Linked DNA regions of Alligator mississippiensis. The protein of the gene in region 2 binds, or shares a complex with, the protein of the main gene of each other region. Links are inferred from orthologs where the notes say so. Each region holds a gene or a part of one and is shown on either strand. Other genes may lie near its edges.

What was found.
Region 1: EMC10 (region 2) and EMC9 share a complex: the UniProt entries of both Homo sapiens proteins name them as parts of the ER membrane protein complex. The link is inferred for Alligator mississippiensis from reciprocal best matches to the Homo sapiens genes EMC10 and EMC9.

The regions. Positions count from the first base shown.
Region 1 is NC_081830.1:7,802,860-7,810,749, forward strand, and holds the start of EMC9 (ER membrane protein complex subunit 9), read right to left. Parts: upstream 2,991-7,890; coding exon 2,790-2,990; intron 2,291-2,789; coding exon 2,214-2,290; intron 2,137-2,213; coding exon 2,067-2,136; intron 1,757-2,066; coding exon 1,662-1,756; intron 1,459-1,661; coding exon 1,278-1,458; 3' UTR 1-1,277. Other genes in the region: PSME2 (proteasome activator complex subunit 2), read right to left, coding at 5,451-5,531, 5,609-5,695, 5,882-5,936, 6,353-6,420, 6,641-6,709, 6,789-6,886, 6,958-6,997, 7,072-7,158 and 3 more. UniProt on the Homo sapiens protein: Part of the endoplasmic reticulum membrane protein complex (EMC) that enables the energy-independent insertion into endoplasmic reticulum membranes of newly synthesized membrane proteins.
Region 2 is NC_081828.1:40,239,456-40,247,579, reverse strand, and holds the start of EMC10 (ER membrane protein complex subunit 10), read right to left. Parts: upstream 3,054-8,124; coding exon 2,967-3,053; intron 2,314-2,966; coding exon 2,247-2,313; intron 1,858-2,246; coding exon 1,745-1,857; intron 1,475-1,744; coding exon 1,370-1,474; intron 1,082-1,369; coding exon 900-1,081; intron 769-899; coding exon 675-768; intron 1-674. Other genes in the region: GARIN5A (Golgi-associated RAB2 interactor protein 5A), read left to right, coding at 4,042-4,187, 4,587-4,793, 5,184-5,406; MYBPC2 (myosin-binding protein C, fast-type), read right to left, coding at 5,763-6,013, 6,508-6,694, 7,190-7,326, 7,719-7,878. UniProt on the Homo sapiens protein: Part of the endoplasmic reticulum membrane protein complex (EMC) that enables the energy-independent insertion into endoplasmic reticulum membranes of newly synthesized membrane proteins.

The DNA.
Region 1 (7,890 bases), on a different chromosome or scaffold from region 2:
TTTAAATGGACCTCAAATAAATTAAATTACATTTTATTTTACTGAAGTAACTTATACTTGTATTTAAAATGTCAGCCATGTAAATTTAATAATATTAAGATGTATAAATACAAAAGCTGATTACAAAAAAAAAAAAAGTAAAAAGAAATTAAATAGCCGAGGTCTGTCAACGGGAAAGAAGGCTCTACTTTTATTCCAAATACACAGGTGGCTGGATGAAAGATATCATACTAAGAAATTCTTTTCTCTTGCATAATTCCTGGACTACTGCAACTACAACATCACTCTTAAATAACTGAGTAAAGAAACCATATTTTTCATAGAGACCAAAAATCTTTTCTTTTTTTTTTAAACAAAACAAAAATGCTTTTTCTCGGCCAAAACAAACAAACAAAACCCTCAGTTTCCAAGTTGCTTTGTTAAATTTCTGGCTTCTCATTTCTGTAACTTTGTGGCCAATTCTTTAAGTAAATGAGGAGTTTTGATTGCAAAACTCAATAGAAAAGCATTTGTGCAACAAAAGTATAAGATAAAAAATCAGAATAATCTATTGAAGGAAGTGTATTACGTATGTATACACACACACACACACAAGTTTATAGTTTTTGACATGGTTACATAGTTGTGTTGAAAAAGGAAGAAATAATATATTTAATGTAATAATATATATTAACATATTTAATATTCAATAAAACTCAAGGTATACACAAAAAATAGGGAAATGTAAACATCAAATCCTTATTTCCCCCCCACAAAAAAAAGCACTTTACAAGGCGCATTTAAACTCTTCAGATTGTCACGTTTCAGTATTTGGCATTTTGAGCTCTTTAAAAAATGAGGATTATGGTGGAGTGAGGAAGGAAAGAAGAAAAATGCAAAATAAGTGTCTTTCTATGGAACAAGAGAGATTCTAAAATAAACCAAAAATACCTCAAATTAAAAGACCTTTCTCTGAACAAGTTTTTCAATTTGTTCTGAATTAAAAAGTAACGGATCTGCTTTTGGGTTAAAATTCCTGTTTTAATAAACGGACTTTTATTACTCATATTTTCTACATCACAGAGGTTAAATATTCCTGCTTTTCTGCTTGTTCTGGGGGCATTTTGTGCTTTTTAATATCTGGGGGCAATGAGGGTCTGGCCTGGGGTTAGGTCAGTACTGACTATCCTGGACATCTGACTGGCTGCCAAGTCAGGCATGGGAAGGCTCTGCAGCTCGGAGCTGCAACCTGACTGCAGCCCATTGGCCACACCCACCATATCCTCCAATGGAAGACCTCAGGCACTGCCATTGGCCACTGACATCAGCTGGGCGATTTCAGCGTTGAGCTGCTGATTGGTCCAGTCCCTCCGGATGTCGTCAAGGTGGGCATCAAAGTCAACCAGTTGGGTATAAGCTTTGGCCTCCAGCAGGGTTTGGCAGACCCGGCGGGAGGACTCCCAGTCCTGCCACATGACCCTGGGGGGGTGGGGGTGGAGAGTTAGCCCTGAATGCTTGGGTTCCTCCTGCAAACACCAGTGGGGGAGGGGACAGAGCCATGATGCCTGGGTCCCTCCTCCCTTGACAAGCGAGCTGCCTGGACGCCTGGGTCATGTCTCGTGAGAGGGCAATGGGGGAGCCTACAGAAGAGGGGGGCTAGGGGTGCGGGTGTCTTCACTCACAAGTTCTTGTCCTTGGGGACCCACTGCCGGTCCCGTTGCTCCAGCACCAGGATGGGGGGCACACGGGGGCTCATGGTGAACTTCCGGTTATTCAGCTGGGGGGGAGGAAGAGTGTCAGAGAAGGGGGGGAGCACCCCACAGCACCCCTGAACCTGTGATCCCACCCCCAGCACCCCACACCCACAGCACTCAGTCCCGGCCTCCGCTGCACCCCAGCCCCCACCCCCCAGGATCCCTCCCACACCTGATCCCAGCCCCCAGCACCCAATCCCACTGCCCCCAACCATGATTCTAGCACTTCCCCCCACTCCCGACCCCTGACCCCAGCCTCCACCACCACCGAACCAGTGATCCCAGTCCCCAGGCTCCCACCCCTCACCTCACTCCCCCCACCCCCAGTCTCACCATGATGAGCACGGCACCTTCACACAGCTCGGCCAGGCGCCCTGCCACGCGCTGCGCCAGGGGCGGGGGGCTGTGGGGGGCACACAGGGGTCAGCGGGACCCCTGACCTTCCCCCCCCTTTCTTGCACCCGAGGACCCCTGACTCACCTCAGCTCGTCCAGCCCCGCGCCCGCCTGGTAGTACCCGGCCAGGAGCAGGCCCTGCGTTGCCCCCCATGCCTCCACCTGCGGGCACAGGCGACAGGTAGGGGGAGGACGGAGGGCACACGCCCCACACAAGAGTGGCCCCTGACTTGGTACCGCTCAAGACCTGGCAGTTTTATTGCCCCGCAGGGTGGTGGCGTGTTGAGCAGGGGGGGCACTAAGCTGCGGCAGAAAAGTATAGGGGTGGATATGGGGCTTTTGGCTCGCCCCAGGTCCACCCACAGACTGTGCCCCCCAGGACTCAGGAGGCACCAGTCCCCTGCCAGAGAGGATGGGGCCACAGGGACCCCCGGCACCTTCACCCCCACTGTGGGCACAGCGCCCCTTGCCCCGCATTAGGCCCCTCCCACACACACCGCGTGGCCCCGCCCCCTGACAACTCTGCCTCTTGCCCCGCCCTTTCCCTGTCACTCTCCCTGTGGCCCCTCCCCCTGCCGTCATTGCCGCTTTCCCCGCCCCCTCCCTGTCCCTGTGGCCCCTGACCCTACCCCTAGCCCAGAGGGCCCCGCCCCGTCCGCACCTGGTGCAGCGCCACGTCCAGCATGGGGCGGAGCACAGGCGCGGCGCGGAAGAGCGGCACGCAGTCGGCCAAGCAGAGACAGCGCGCGGGTGGCGGCGCGGGGCGGCCCAGCAGCAGCCCGCTGACAGCCGCTGCCGGGTGCCGCGCCGCGTGTAGCGCCATCTTGGCGTAGGCGCGGCCCGACAGCTCCACCTCCGCCATCGCCCCGCCGGCCGCCTGCCCGCCCGCCAGCGCCCAGCCTCGCCGCCACTCGCCATTGGCTGGCACGGCTCTGCTCCCGCCTCCTGCCACACGGCCGGCACGCTGAGTGGCTGCCAGCCCGCGCCAGCGCCTCCCCGCGCGGCTTCTCGCAGGAGCAGCGAGGGGGCGCCTAGAGCGGCCAGTGCGGGAGAGAAGCGGCCTCTCTCCGGGCTTAGCGCCACCCGCTGGCCTTCCCCAGCCTGCCCTGCGGGGCCCTCAGTTGTGGGGGGTTAATGCTCTGCGCCTGAGTGGGGATGGCGGATAGGTACCCTTAGTGCCCTGCATTGGCTATTCCTCCTTGTATCATGTTATTAATTGCTTAATTATGAGTGTATGGGATGGTTTGCATAGGGATGATCCTACCTCAGGCAGGGGGTTAGACTAGCTGACCGCTGGAGGTCCCTTCCAGCCCCACTCCTCTAGGATTCTGCGCACATACGGTTGGGTGACAAGACAAGATTAAGTGGTTAATCACGTCATAAGTGCAATGTTGCCAACTCTCATGACTTTTGGCACTGTTCTTAAAGTGTATGCTTCAGCAATGTGAAAAACAGCTTTCTTTTATATGGAAGAGCTAAGTTTTTCACATTCCCAAAGCATAGACTTTAAGAACAGTGCCAAAAATCATGAGTTGGCAATACTGTAAGTGTAGCATATGGATTGGACCTGACAGAGCACACCAGCTACTGCTGACTGTGGACTGAGCAAAAGCCTGAGTCACAACATCAATAATAAGCTTGCATTTAAATAACAAGCAGTCACCTGGGCAAATAGAACAAGAATCTGTTTATCAAGCCATGAATATTAGATTAGGTCCAGAACAAATAACTGCTTTTTGGAAAAGCGTGCAACAGTACCTAGAAGGAATGATTGATGTTTTGCCTTTGATAGCAAGTGAGTTGCACATAGGTAGAAATCTCGTGCAATAATTGTGCATTTTTGTTGTTAACTTGTTGCTAGGTTTGGCTGTTTTCAAGGCAGGGCTGGACACAGGCATGGGCGAACTGGGCAGCTGCCTGGGGCCTGGACAGAAAGGGGGCCCAAAAATAGTAATTGTTCTTATTATTATCATAATTTCTATATTATTATTATATCTCTTTATCATTACCGTTATCGTTATTGGGGCCTGATACTAAAACTTCACCTGAGGCCGCCGGGAGTTTAGGTATAGTGCTGTTTCAAGGGACCCGGGAGGGCTAGCGACCTCTACCCCTGGGCACACCTGTAGAAGTGTGGCTAGAGCAGGCCACAAAGCCTGTTCCAGCATGAATTAATGTTAGAACTGGCCTTGTCAGCAAAGTAAAAGCAGCAGAACGTGGCAAGGAGCATTCCCAGATGGTGAGGGAAAGAGAGAAGTTCCCTCTCCCTGGATTGAAATTTTCACTAGCAAATTGGCCTCTTCTGAGCCCACAGGAAAACTGGTTCCATTCCCAAAGTTTCAGTGAAACAAAGACATTTGAATAACACTGATCAGAATATTTATTTAAATAACCCACATATTGAGTGTGAACAGGGGGAGTCTTTAGGGCTGCTGCCAGCGTGCAAGCCAACTTTCTCCTCCCTCCTGCATCTCACCTGGCCACTAGAGGTGAGAATTTGTATTGTGCTGTTGCCAGTAGCAAAACAGATATAGAAACAAGTGCTTATTCTTGTGCTTTGGGGTATAATCAGTACAAGGTTGGGTTGTTAGACGTTTCTTGCCTCTGTGTGACTTGGGTTGTCGTAAAGCTTTACAGGCAGAGGGAATGGAGGAGCATTGGGAAATGTGGTTGTATCTTGTCTGGGGGTACAAAAATGGTAGTCAATAAGGGAAGTGGAACCATCACTGAATTCTGTGTCTGAGCAGGCAAAACCCTTATCATAAATGGGATGTAGTCTTGTCTCTCAAAAGACTGAATAGCATCAGGTTTTTCATAACATCCCATTACCCACTGTGCCCTGGAGCAGATGTTACTAGGTCTCCATTACCCACAGTGCACTGCAGTAGATACTAACAGGCCCCCCACCATACCCACAGTGTCCTGTGGCAGATGCCAACGAGTGCTCATTACCGACAGTGCCCTGGGATGCAGGCACCTGAGCCCTGAGGTCACAGGCAATAGCCAGCCATGGGGGGAGGGCACCTCAGGGGCGTTACCCACAATGTCTTGGGGCACAGAGGGCAACAAGGAAGGCGGATGTGCTGCCCTCCATCTGAGAGGTCCTACCCACAATACTGAGGCACATGCCAACAGGCCCCCATGCCCCATGACACACAAGGGGTGTCATCTCCCCCATGACAGCTCAGGACAGGGATGCACACACCAGGCCATGTCTGAGAAAACCATTTATTTGCATTGCCTGTAAATGCCACCTTGTGCCCCTTCCCTCTCCCACCCACCGTGGGGCAGGTATGGGGGCAGCTGTGGCCGCGCTGCATCATCAATACATGGACGGCTTCTCCTCCCCTTTGGGGTTCGTCAGCTTCTCCAGGTTCTCCGACAGGATGTGGTAGAGCTCGGCCTGGTGGGGACAGAGCAGGGGGTGAGGTGAGGGGGAGAGAGAAAATAGAGCCCCCTACCCCCCTCTCCGCAACTCACATAGAAGCCCCGAATGTCCAGCAACATGGTTCGGATGTCTCTGTAGGCTGCCTCGTCACGCTCATGGACCAGGGTTCGGTAATCCATCTGGGGAGAGGGCACTGGTTAGACTGGGATGCACTCCTGGGGGAAGCTTGCAGCACTGGGGTGCCTGCCACTGCTGCTGGGGGAGGGCACTGTTCAAGGGAAGTCTGCAGCATCCAATGCACTGAGGTGACTGACGGAAGGAACTGCGGGAGGAAGCTTGCAGCCCCGGGGGGCTGAATCACTCACCACGTGGGTCTCCTTGGAGGCCTTGGCCACAGCATCTCCACGTTCAGAGAAGTACCTGGGGGGGGCAAGGAGAGAGAGCGCTCAGGGGTCATACCCATAATGCCGTGCTCAGAACCAGTACCCACAATGCTTTGAGGGCATGGGCACCCATAAGGAGCAGCTATCCACAATGCTGTGGGGTGCTGACACCAACCTGGGACCATTACCCAGAATGCCTTGTGGCCATGGGCACCCATGTGGTGCTGCTACCCACAATGCCTTGGGGCAGGGAAGCTGAAGTAGGGAAAAGGTATAGCCCCCACCAAGGCCAACCAGGTGCTCCCAGCTCCTTACCCATAATGCCCTGGGGCAGGAAGCCTGCTCCCCACAACCTTGGGCTGGGGGAACAGACATTACCACAGGGCAGAGCACATGTAACTCATGGTGTCATGGGGTGGGGGGCACTACCCAGCATGCCCCAGCCTGACTCACTTGGAAATGGCTGTCTGGAAGCCCTCGACCTTGGTTTTCACAGCTGTCACTCGTTCCAGCACCTTCTCCTGGGGGCAGAGGGAGACGGGGGTGGAGTGGGGTGGGGTGGGGCAGGAATGATTGGGCTAGGGACCCCCAGGGGTTTTGGAGGTTCAGGGCATGTGGGAGTCCGGGGAGGCACGGGGTGGGGGCACCTGGGCTGGAGGCCTCTGGGAATCCAGGAATAGCTGGATTAGGGGTCCCCAGGTATCTGGGATGCAGGAAGTTGGGGGGTGGGCACCTCCTTACCTGCACAGCCACCCCAAAATCATTGCCATCCTCGATTTTGGGGATCAGGTACTGGATCCAAGTGACCACCTGCAGGATGAAGCAAGGTAGTAAGGGCACTACTGTGGGGAAGCTCACAGCCCTGCAGGGGGCTGGGGGGTTCTCTCACCAGGATGCACTTCTCCTTGAGTGTCAGCACCTCAGGCTTGACCCGGTCCAGCAGGGCCACAATGGCTTCATTGCCCTTCAGGAACCCACACTTGGGGGCTGAGTGAGATACAGAGAAGTCAGGGGGGGTAAACCCCAAAGCACCCCCCAACCCCACCCACAACACTCACCTTCTTTCTTCTCTTCCTTGTCGGTCTCCATGGTGCTGGCCTGCAGAAAGCAGCGATCAGACCCTCTGCCGCCCCCCTCATCCCAAGTGGGGGAATGAGCACCCTCCCACTCACCTCCTCATCCTTGGGGGGCGGGTCAGGGATGGGGATCTCCAGCGGGGCTCGGAGGCTGGAGAGATCCTGCACGTTCAGAGCCTTGTCCTGGGCGGGGAGTTGAGTGGGGCAAATTTAGTGAGGACAGGTGGTATAACAACACCCCCAGAGGAGAGGGGGTGGCAATTTCATACCTTCAGGAGCTTGTCCAGCTGCAGGATTTTCTGGGGTAGGAACGTGGCCAGGAACTCTTCAGCCTGGGGGTGAAAAACCGGGGTAGGGAGTCACATGGGGCAGGTATTTGGAGGGGCAATAAGGGGGGGGGGTGGCTGGGGGGTACTTACCTCCTTGAAGAGGGCTTCCTGGAAGGCAGCCACCTGGGGGCAGGGTGAGAAGGATCAGAAATGCAGCTGGCTCTGGGGTGGCACACGCCAAGCGTAATGCCCCTCTATCTGGCCCCAGGTCACCCCCCCCCCAGGCTGGGGACTTTTCGGGGAGCCCCCAAGCCCCATCTGGCCTCAGATGCACCCCTCGTGGGGGTCCCCGTGACGTCACGGCCCACCTTCCTGGCGGCCCCCCCGGCGGGGCGCAGGGCGCAGGCCTTGGCCATGATCGTGTCTTGGACCGTGTGTCCCGCCGCCCCTTTCGCTTTCGCTCTCGCCCGGTTCCGCCTCGGAGGCTCCGCCCCGGCCTCGTGGGAGGGGCTCCTGGTGACATCACCCCTGCCCCCCACTTTCTGGAATTCCCCTGTGTAACGTCAGAGCCCCCCCACATACTCCCCCCACCAAGTGCACTCCGCCGGGACCCCCTTTTCGTGATGTCACTTTCCCCCCAACCGCG
Region 2 (8,124 bases):
AAGGAGGCAGCCCCACCACCAGGGTTGGGGGTGAGCAGCAATCCTTCCCACAATCAGCAATGGGAGAGCCCCTGGACAAAGATCTTCCTCCCTGTCCATTACCAGCGAGACAGTGATGGGGAGTGGGCTGGCCTGGCAGGAGGGATGTGCAACAGCCATGCCACCTCCTGCTCCCTGCTGGATGGGGCCAGAAGGGGATGGGGGAGCAGGGTGGTACAGGGGGAAGAAGCCAGCAGGGTGGAGACAGGGGGTTTACTTGGCTGCTCAAGGCTGGCGTCCAGGCTCCCACGGGGCTTTGACCGAGTTGGTGGCCAGGAGAAGCACGGCCCCGCCCAATATTAAATGCCACTGCAGGGGGGGTGGGGGGAGAGCACATGTCAACCAGGCACAAGGTGGGGGATAATCTGTAGGAAGGGACTGTATGGGAGGGGTGCAGCACTGGTTGGAGGTTTTGGGTGAGAGGATCCCTGTGTGGTTCTGTGTGGTAGGGAGGTGGGGTAGTTGGTGGAAGCCTGGTCCAGTAGATGGGGGTTCCCTAAAGGTGGGATCCCAGTGCTTGTGCTGGGGGATTCCTAAAAGGGCTAAGTATTTGTGAAAGTGGGGTCCTAGTGCTATGCTGGGTCCCAAGGCTGTGCTGGGGGTCTCCGATGCCAGACTCAGGATCCCGCACTCACATATTTGGCGAAGAAAGATTTCTGCTCCTGCGGGTTCTTGGCTCTCTGCGCCTGCTCCTGCTCCATGCGCTCGATAAATGCTGCCGTCTCAGGGCTGGGGGAAGAGGAGGGAGGGAAGCCTGTCAGAGAGGGTACAGCCCCCACCCAACCCAGTCATCTCCCTGCTGCACACCCCAGTCCTCAACTCCCTTCCTTCCCGGGTCCCGGCCCTGTCCCTGCACTCACACAGCAGCTGGCACTGGCTGCTGTAGCACCACAGTGGTGTTGAAGACCTCCAGGTCCACATCCTCCACCTCAGCACCATGGCAGGAGCCAGGCATGGTGACAATGGAGATGCCGATCACGTTCCCAGCCACATCTGTGTGCACCGTGAGCCGGTCCGAGATGTGAGACTCCACTAATGAGCACTAGGGGTGAGAGGGGATGGGGTCAGCAGGACTGAGACATCTTCCCCTTCTCCCTCTTTGTGCTCTGCCCTACCCCCAGCCTCCAGCCACAGGTAGGCCACCAGCCTCTCAATCCACAAGGGAGCTGGGATTGGAGGATTTAGCAACCAAGAGGAACCAGCCAAGGGTGGGGGAAAGGCAGGAAGGACCCCTGGGGAGAGGGAACCAGCCAGACACCCCAGCCCATCCACTGAAATCACCAAGAAGCCAAATGGGGCTGGCTGGGGGTGACGTCTTAGGGGCACTCACTGCTCGGACGAAGGAGGTGACATACTCAGTAGCAAGCTCATCTGCAGCTCCCAAGGGCCAGCGAGGGATCCTGACACGATACAGCCCATTCAGCGCCGCCACTTCCTTGAGGGCAGGGGACACCATCAGGATGAGCCATATATTTCACCCCCCAGCTACACACCCACCCTCCATTCTTTGGGATGAGATGCCAGCATCCCCCAAACCCCCTTCCCTGCCCCAGCCCCTCCTATGGGCTACATAGCCTCACCCTCCCTGCTTCCACACAACAGCTTTCCTTCCTGGCCCCAAAGAGCAGGGTAAAAGCTTCCCCACAAGGAGAAGGCCCTCCATGTATGCCCCCACCAGCCATGCTGAGAACTCCCCAGCCCTCACCCTGAGCAAGTTGCGCTCCCCCTCACTCAGCTGCTTCTGGGACAGCGAGAGACTGGGATCAGGCGCCAGGGTCCAGAGCAGGGTGCCCCGCTTCCGGAAGTGGATGCTGTCATCTGAGGAGTGGTGTAAGAGCACAACAAGGAGTCACCCTCCCACCGGCCCCCTCCCCTTCCCTGAGAGAGGATGCAGATTCCCCCTCATCTCCCCGCTGCACCCCAGCCCCTCAGCTCCCTTCAGCAGGAAGCCTCCCCACCATGTCAACCATCCGTCCTCTCCCACAACCCACTCAGGGAATTAATGCCACGATCCATGCCCCCAGCAACCACCCTTTACTCTCCCTGAACCCTGTCCTCCCCTCCCCCTGCCATGCCCTGCAGTATCCTCATGAGACAAGAGCCCCTCCCTGCCACTGTAAACCCTCTTACCCTCTCCACCACCCCTGCCCCGCCATAACACCCAGGGAGGGGATCTCAGCCTGACACCCGTCCCCTCCCTGACTCACTCAGCTCGAACGAGTGCTCCAGCTGCAGGGTGATGCCACAGGCCTCAGAGTCCCGCCCCTCGCCCGGCTGCAGGGCACAGGGGACACTGATCAGCACAACCCCTCTGAGTCCTGGATGGCACCCAGGCCCCACCCTCCCCCATGTAACCCAGGCATCCCCACAAGGGTCGCTGGTGAACAGGCTCATTAATATTAATACAAATTCATTAATATTAACAGCCCTGTGACTGGCCTGCCCGCCTCTGTTGTGCCAGTCATGGCAGAATTTGTAAATCATTATGAATGTTAATTAGATCTAGCTAAAGCATTTGTGAATATTAGTCATATGAGGTTGGGGCTCAGCTCCACACCTCCCTGCTAATGACCCACTTATGAATATTGATAATTCAAATCCCCCTCAACTAGGCAGCTCATCACCATGCAACACATGGTGTTACTCCCACACACTATTAACCAGATGCTCATACATAGTCATGACGCGCCGCACTTGCCACTATTCTCTGGCTGCTTATTAATATTAATGAGTGACAACTAATAAGTCCGTTGAATACTCCTCCTACTACGAATATTCATGAGGTCCCAGGCCGAGCGTCGTGTCCCCCTCCCTACAGAGGCCCCGCCCCCTCGTGAATATTAACAAGCCGTCTTCCCTCGGCCTCGGCGACTGCGGTGAATATTACTGAGGCGAATGCGTTTTCCAGCGCGTCCACCCGCACTCACCCGGAGGCCCCGGCAGGACGCGGCGCTGCCAGCCCCGGGCGGCAGCAGCGACACCAGCAGCGCCAGCGCCAGCACCCGCGCCGCCATGGCCCGCGTCACGTGAGGGGGAGGACGCGCCGCGCGGGGCACCCTGGGATGGTGGCGAGCCGCGGAGTCACGTGGGGCGGAGGGGGACGTGCCAGCTTGGGGCCGGCACCATCTTGGACCTCGACAACCTCCAACCCCGCCGTCATTTTGGACCCGTCTCCAAGGCTGGGGATGACACCGGCTGCGCTATGGGGACGGGATGGATCCCACCCACCTTGCTCTGCCCTGCCTGATATGTGCCCCCCCACAGGCTCTAGCCCACCCTGGAGGGGAAGCCCCACGCTGCACTGTGCACCCGCCCTGGGGGGCTGCAGCAGTGCCTGGCACGCGGGGAGTATGGGCCCCTGCACCACTGCCCCCTCTTCGAGAGCAACTTCCTCCAGGTGAGCCCCCCAGCCCCAGGCAGCCCTGCCCAGCCCTGTCCTGGCCCAGTGGCCCCTGCTCTGCCCTCTGACCCCCACCCCACTGCAGGCTCAGCACCCCCCCACTTTGCCCTCAGCCCTGCCCATCCCCACCCTACTCCCAGCATCCCTCTTCTGCCCTGGGTGCCCCCACCCCACTGCTAGCCCAGCCTCCCCCTACCCCTCCACTGCTCCTCATCCCTGCCAGGGCTTTGCCCCACTTCTCCCCCTTCCCACCCTCCCCCAGTATCTCCATGCCCCCCCTCCCTCCCTTACAGCTCTGCCCTCAGTGTTCCTGCCCCACAGCCCTCTCATCTCCACCCCCCACACTTCAAGCCCATCCCAGCCTGGGCCCCAGCCCCCACGCCCCATCCCCTCCATTTCCAGCCCAGCCCTGCCCCTGTCCCCTGCCACTACTCTCCATCCTTCACCCCAGTGCTGCCCAGCCCACTAGACTTTCAGCCCTTCCTGCCCCTGTCCCCAGCCTTCCTGCCCCACTCCCCATCCCACAGTGACCCTGCACCTCCCCCCCCACCCCCATCTCCCTGCAGGTGACCAAGCGGGGGGACCTGGCCAACAGGGTGACCATGGGCATTGCTGCCACCAGCCCTAGGCTGGAGCTGCCTGACCTCCTGCTGCTGGCACGGCCTGTGGTGGGCCCCGGCTTGGCGCCTTGCCGCTGTCGCTGTGCCCTGGGGCTGCCGCCAGAAGGGGAGGAGCTGGAGCTCTTTGGGTGAGTCCTACCTATACCTTCCTCCCCAGCCTTGCAGCCCCCTCCCCAGTGGAGCCCCTAACCATGCTTTCTTACCTGTCTGCAGGTGCCTTCCCCCACATCCCTATAACCCCCTCTTGCTGCCCCCTGGTACTTCTTAATGCATCCTATTGCCTCCCCCATGCCCCTAATATCCCCCCCAGTAGCCCCTAATCCATGTCCTTGCCTTCCCCAGAAGTAGTCCCCAGTGCCCCTCACCCACACCCTTTGCAGTCCTGGCCCCATACTGTAGCTGCCCTGAGGTGCCAGCCAACTGCAAATACGCACACCCCCCCCCCCAAGTCTCTTAACAGGCTGCCCCCAACTTGATACCCTGGTAGTGCCCCCCCCCCACTAATGACCTTCCCTGACTGCCCCCAGGATGCTGCCCCTGCAGTTCGTCCACCTCTCCATCCACAGTGAGGACCGGTACCAGCTCAAGGTGCGCTTGGCCTCCGGCCGGACCTTCTACCTGCAGCTGCTGGCTCCACTGGCCCAGCTGGAGCAGATCTTCAGCCAGTGGGTGCGGCTACTCTACCGTCTGCGCTACCAGTGTCCTGGGGCAGTGCCGAGGGCTAAAGGGACCCGGTGAGTCTGGGGTTAGGTAAGAGATGGACAGGATGAGGAACAGGGGAGACTGGCTACTGTGGGGGGCCAGCCTGGCTTAGGCGCTACCCCAGGTCTTCCCCACGTGTCCCTGCTGCCTGCTCCCAGAACCTGGGCATCCTGGCTCCTAACCCCACCAGACCCCCACCCTCTCCTCCCAGAGCATAGATATAAGCCAGGCACCCTGGCCCCCAACCTCTCCCTCTGCTGTAACTCATCAGACCCCATTCCACCCAGAGCTGGGAGAGAACCCAGCCATCCTGGCTCCCAGCCCCATCTGCAGTAACCTCTCAGCCCCCACTCTCCCAGAGTTTAGATAGAACCCTGGTATCCTGACTGCCTGTGATCTGTCTTTCCTCCCTTCCCCCATAGTGACATTCCAGTACCTCAGGGAAAAGGAAGAGGGGGGCGCAAAGCAGAACCAGCCCCCTCCAAATTGAAGCCCTCTGAGAAGCCAGCTGCACAGGCCTCCAAGCTGAGCAGAGCTTCCAAGCTGAGCAGAGCTTCCATAGTGAGCAGAGCCTCCACTGTTTCCCTACCATCAGAACCTGACTCCAGTGACCAGAGCTTTCTGTCTGAGAAGGAAAAGTCCTAGAGAAGCTGCACCATCCCCCACAGACCAGCGGGGAGCCCTTCAATAAAGTCCCATGATGGAACTGTAGTCAAGCCACCTCAATGCTGCACCCCATTAATGCACGGAGCGCCCCCGTACAACCCACCAGAGCCCACTGCCCTCCCAGAGCCAGGAGAGAACCCAGGAGTCCTGGCTCCCAGCCCCCTGCTCTAACACACCCACCACCCCAGACTCACTGGTTCCTTTCCATGTACCTCCCATGCCTCTCCCCTGCCCCCATCAATTCAAAGGACAAATGGACTCAGCAGGGCCTGGCAGGGAGCTCTGGGCTCCATTTATTGACAGATACTGGGACAGACTCATGGACAGACACAGACTCAGTGAGGGGTGAGGAAATCCAAGCATGAGCTGCAGGGGAGGGGAGTCAGGGCTCTGCTCCAGTAGGGGGGGGGGGGATAGGAATAGCTGACCCCCCCCCCCCCCCCCCCCCCCCAGTTGGCACTGATGGGGTGTAGGGAGGTGGCAGGAGGTGGTGCCCTTTTCTCTGTGTGCATGTCCTCACCCTGCCACACTGCTGTCCTTGGGGGCAGGGGCAGGGCATGGCACTCAGTCCTTGCTGTCCGGGGGTCTGTGAGCAGGGAGAGAATAGTGAGGTGAAGGAGGCCAGAGCCCTTGGCCCCCATTAACCACAGCCCCCAAACGCCCTTTCTTTACTAGCCACAGCGTCTCGCTCGCTAGGCACGGCCCCAGAGCCTCCTTCCCGTGTTAGGCACATTTCCCCCTCCCCCACTAGCAATGGCCTCTGCCCTGCTAGCCAGGGCTTCAGAGCCCCCTTCCCCATCTCCCCACTCCCCCATAGGCCTCTCCCCAACTCACTGCTCCCCAGGCAAGTGGCTGCACTTTGGGTTTTACTGGGGCACTGCAGGAGGGAAAGACAGACAGCCTTAGGTGGGCAGACAGGCAGCCCTGCCTCCAGCCACCCCCTCCCTCACTGCCCACCCAATGGGCACCTCTCATCCTCCCCAGCCCATAGACACCTCACACCCTCAGCTTGACCCCAACACCTCTTGCCCCTCCAGCCCTGCCAGCTTCCCCGTGCCCGCTCCCCAGCCTAGCAGGCACCTCGGATTTCAAGCTTGCATTCAGTGAGGGCTTCGCCCAGGTTGTTGACAGCCCGGCAGCTGTAGGTGCCCCCATCAAAGGGGCTGGGCTTGCGGATGTGCAGCGTCAGGACACCCTGGTTGTTCTTCATCAGGAACTTGGGGTCCTCACGGATCTCCATCTTGTTTTTCATCCAGATCACCTTAGGCTGGGAGGGTGGGAGGAGCATCGTGGATGGAAGAGAGGGGCATCATACAGCCTCCAACCTCCCCCAACCACAGTGGGGGGCAAGTGACCCCCACCCCACACACAAGGGGGGCAGAGACCTCAGACCCCTCCCACCTACCCCCCACACTTGACCAGGAAGGAAACCCCCAGTCCACTAGCTATCCAGCAGCTACACCAATACTGGGGAGGATCCCCAGTCCCTCAACTACCTTCCACCTACATCCACACTGGGGGGAGGGATCCCCAATCTCACCTACCCCACAATCAAGTGTGTGATCCCAAAGATAAACTACAAGCTTCCCCTGGCACTCTATGAACACCTCCTTCCAGAGAGGACCAGTCTGGGGCCAGGGGAAGGTAAGGCTTCACCTCCAGCCTTTCATGTTACCAGGTTCAGGGTGTTGGTGCCCTCCCCAGACCCCAGTGGGTAGGAAAATTTTGGGTGGAGAGTCCCTGACCAAGAGGGACTGTGTACCTTGGGGTGCCCCCGCACTGCACAGTTCAGGGCTGTGCTGTACCCAGCCACCACAGTGCGGTCAACCAGGGGTGTCAAGATTTGGGGCGCCATGCTGAAGTCATGTTCCTTGTAGTCCATGGGTTTATACATGATCCCTGGGTGGGGGCACCAAAAGAAGGGTGGTGAGTGAGGACATGGAGAGCCAGTCCCATGCCCCCCACTCCCCTCCCTGGCCTGGCTAGGTCCACCCCACTGGAACCCAGGTATCTATGCTCCCAGCCTCCCTGCTATAGCCACACTCACAAAGCTGGTGTGCAACCCAGGTGTCTGGGCTCCCAGCTCTGCTGCTCCAGCCCTTGAGACGCTACTGCTCCAATGCTGGGAGAGACCCCAGGAGCCCTGGCTCCCAGCCCTGTTCTAACCCGCTAGACCCCATGCACCCCCAGCCTGGGGAGAGAATCAAGGTGTGCCATCTCCCAACCCCTTCCTGCTGGCTGAATGGCTCCAGCCCTGCTCTGGCCTGTCAGAACCCCAATATCCATCAGACCTGTCTTGTGGATGAAGGCGGTGTTCTTGGAGATGCCAGGCGAGTCGCTGAGCCCACAGATGTTCTCGCTGTACACACGGAAGTAGTACTCGTTGCCCATGATCAGGTCTGACACAGTGCAGCGTGTTAGCCGGTTGTGCTCGTACACCGTGAACCACTCCTAGGGGGGATGGAGGTAGGGACGGTCACCAAGGGGTATCACACTGATGACTTTCTGCAGAGCATAGCTTACAACCACAAATGGGGAAGGGGGCCTCAGGATGAGGGGCTGTGGAGAATCTCATGTATGGGGGAGCCAGGGCAGGGATTCCCTTTTGCAATGATCTTCTGGCCTGAGATCTTCAAAGAGGGGGCTGGGATATGCCCCTAGGTGAGGGGGTTCAGGGCAGAGGCAGTGGGAGGGTTG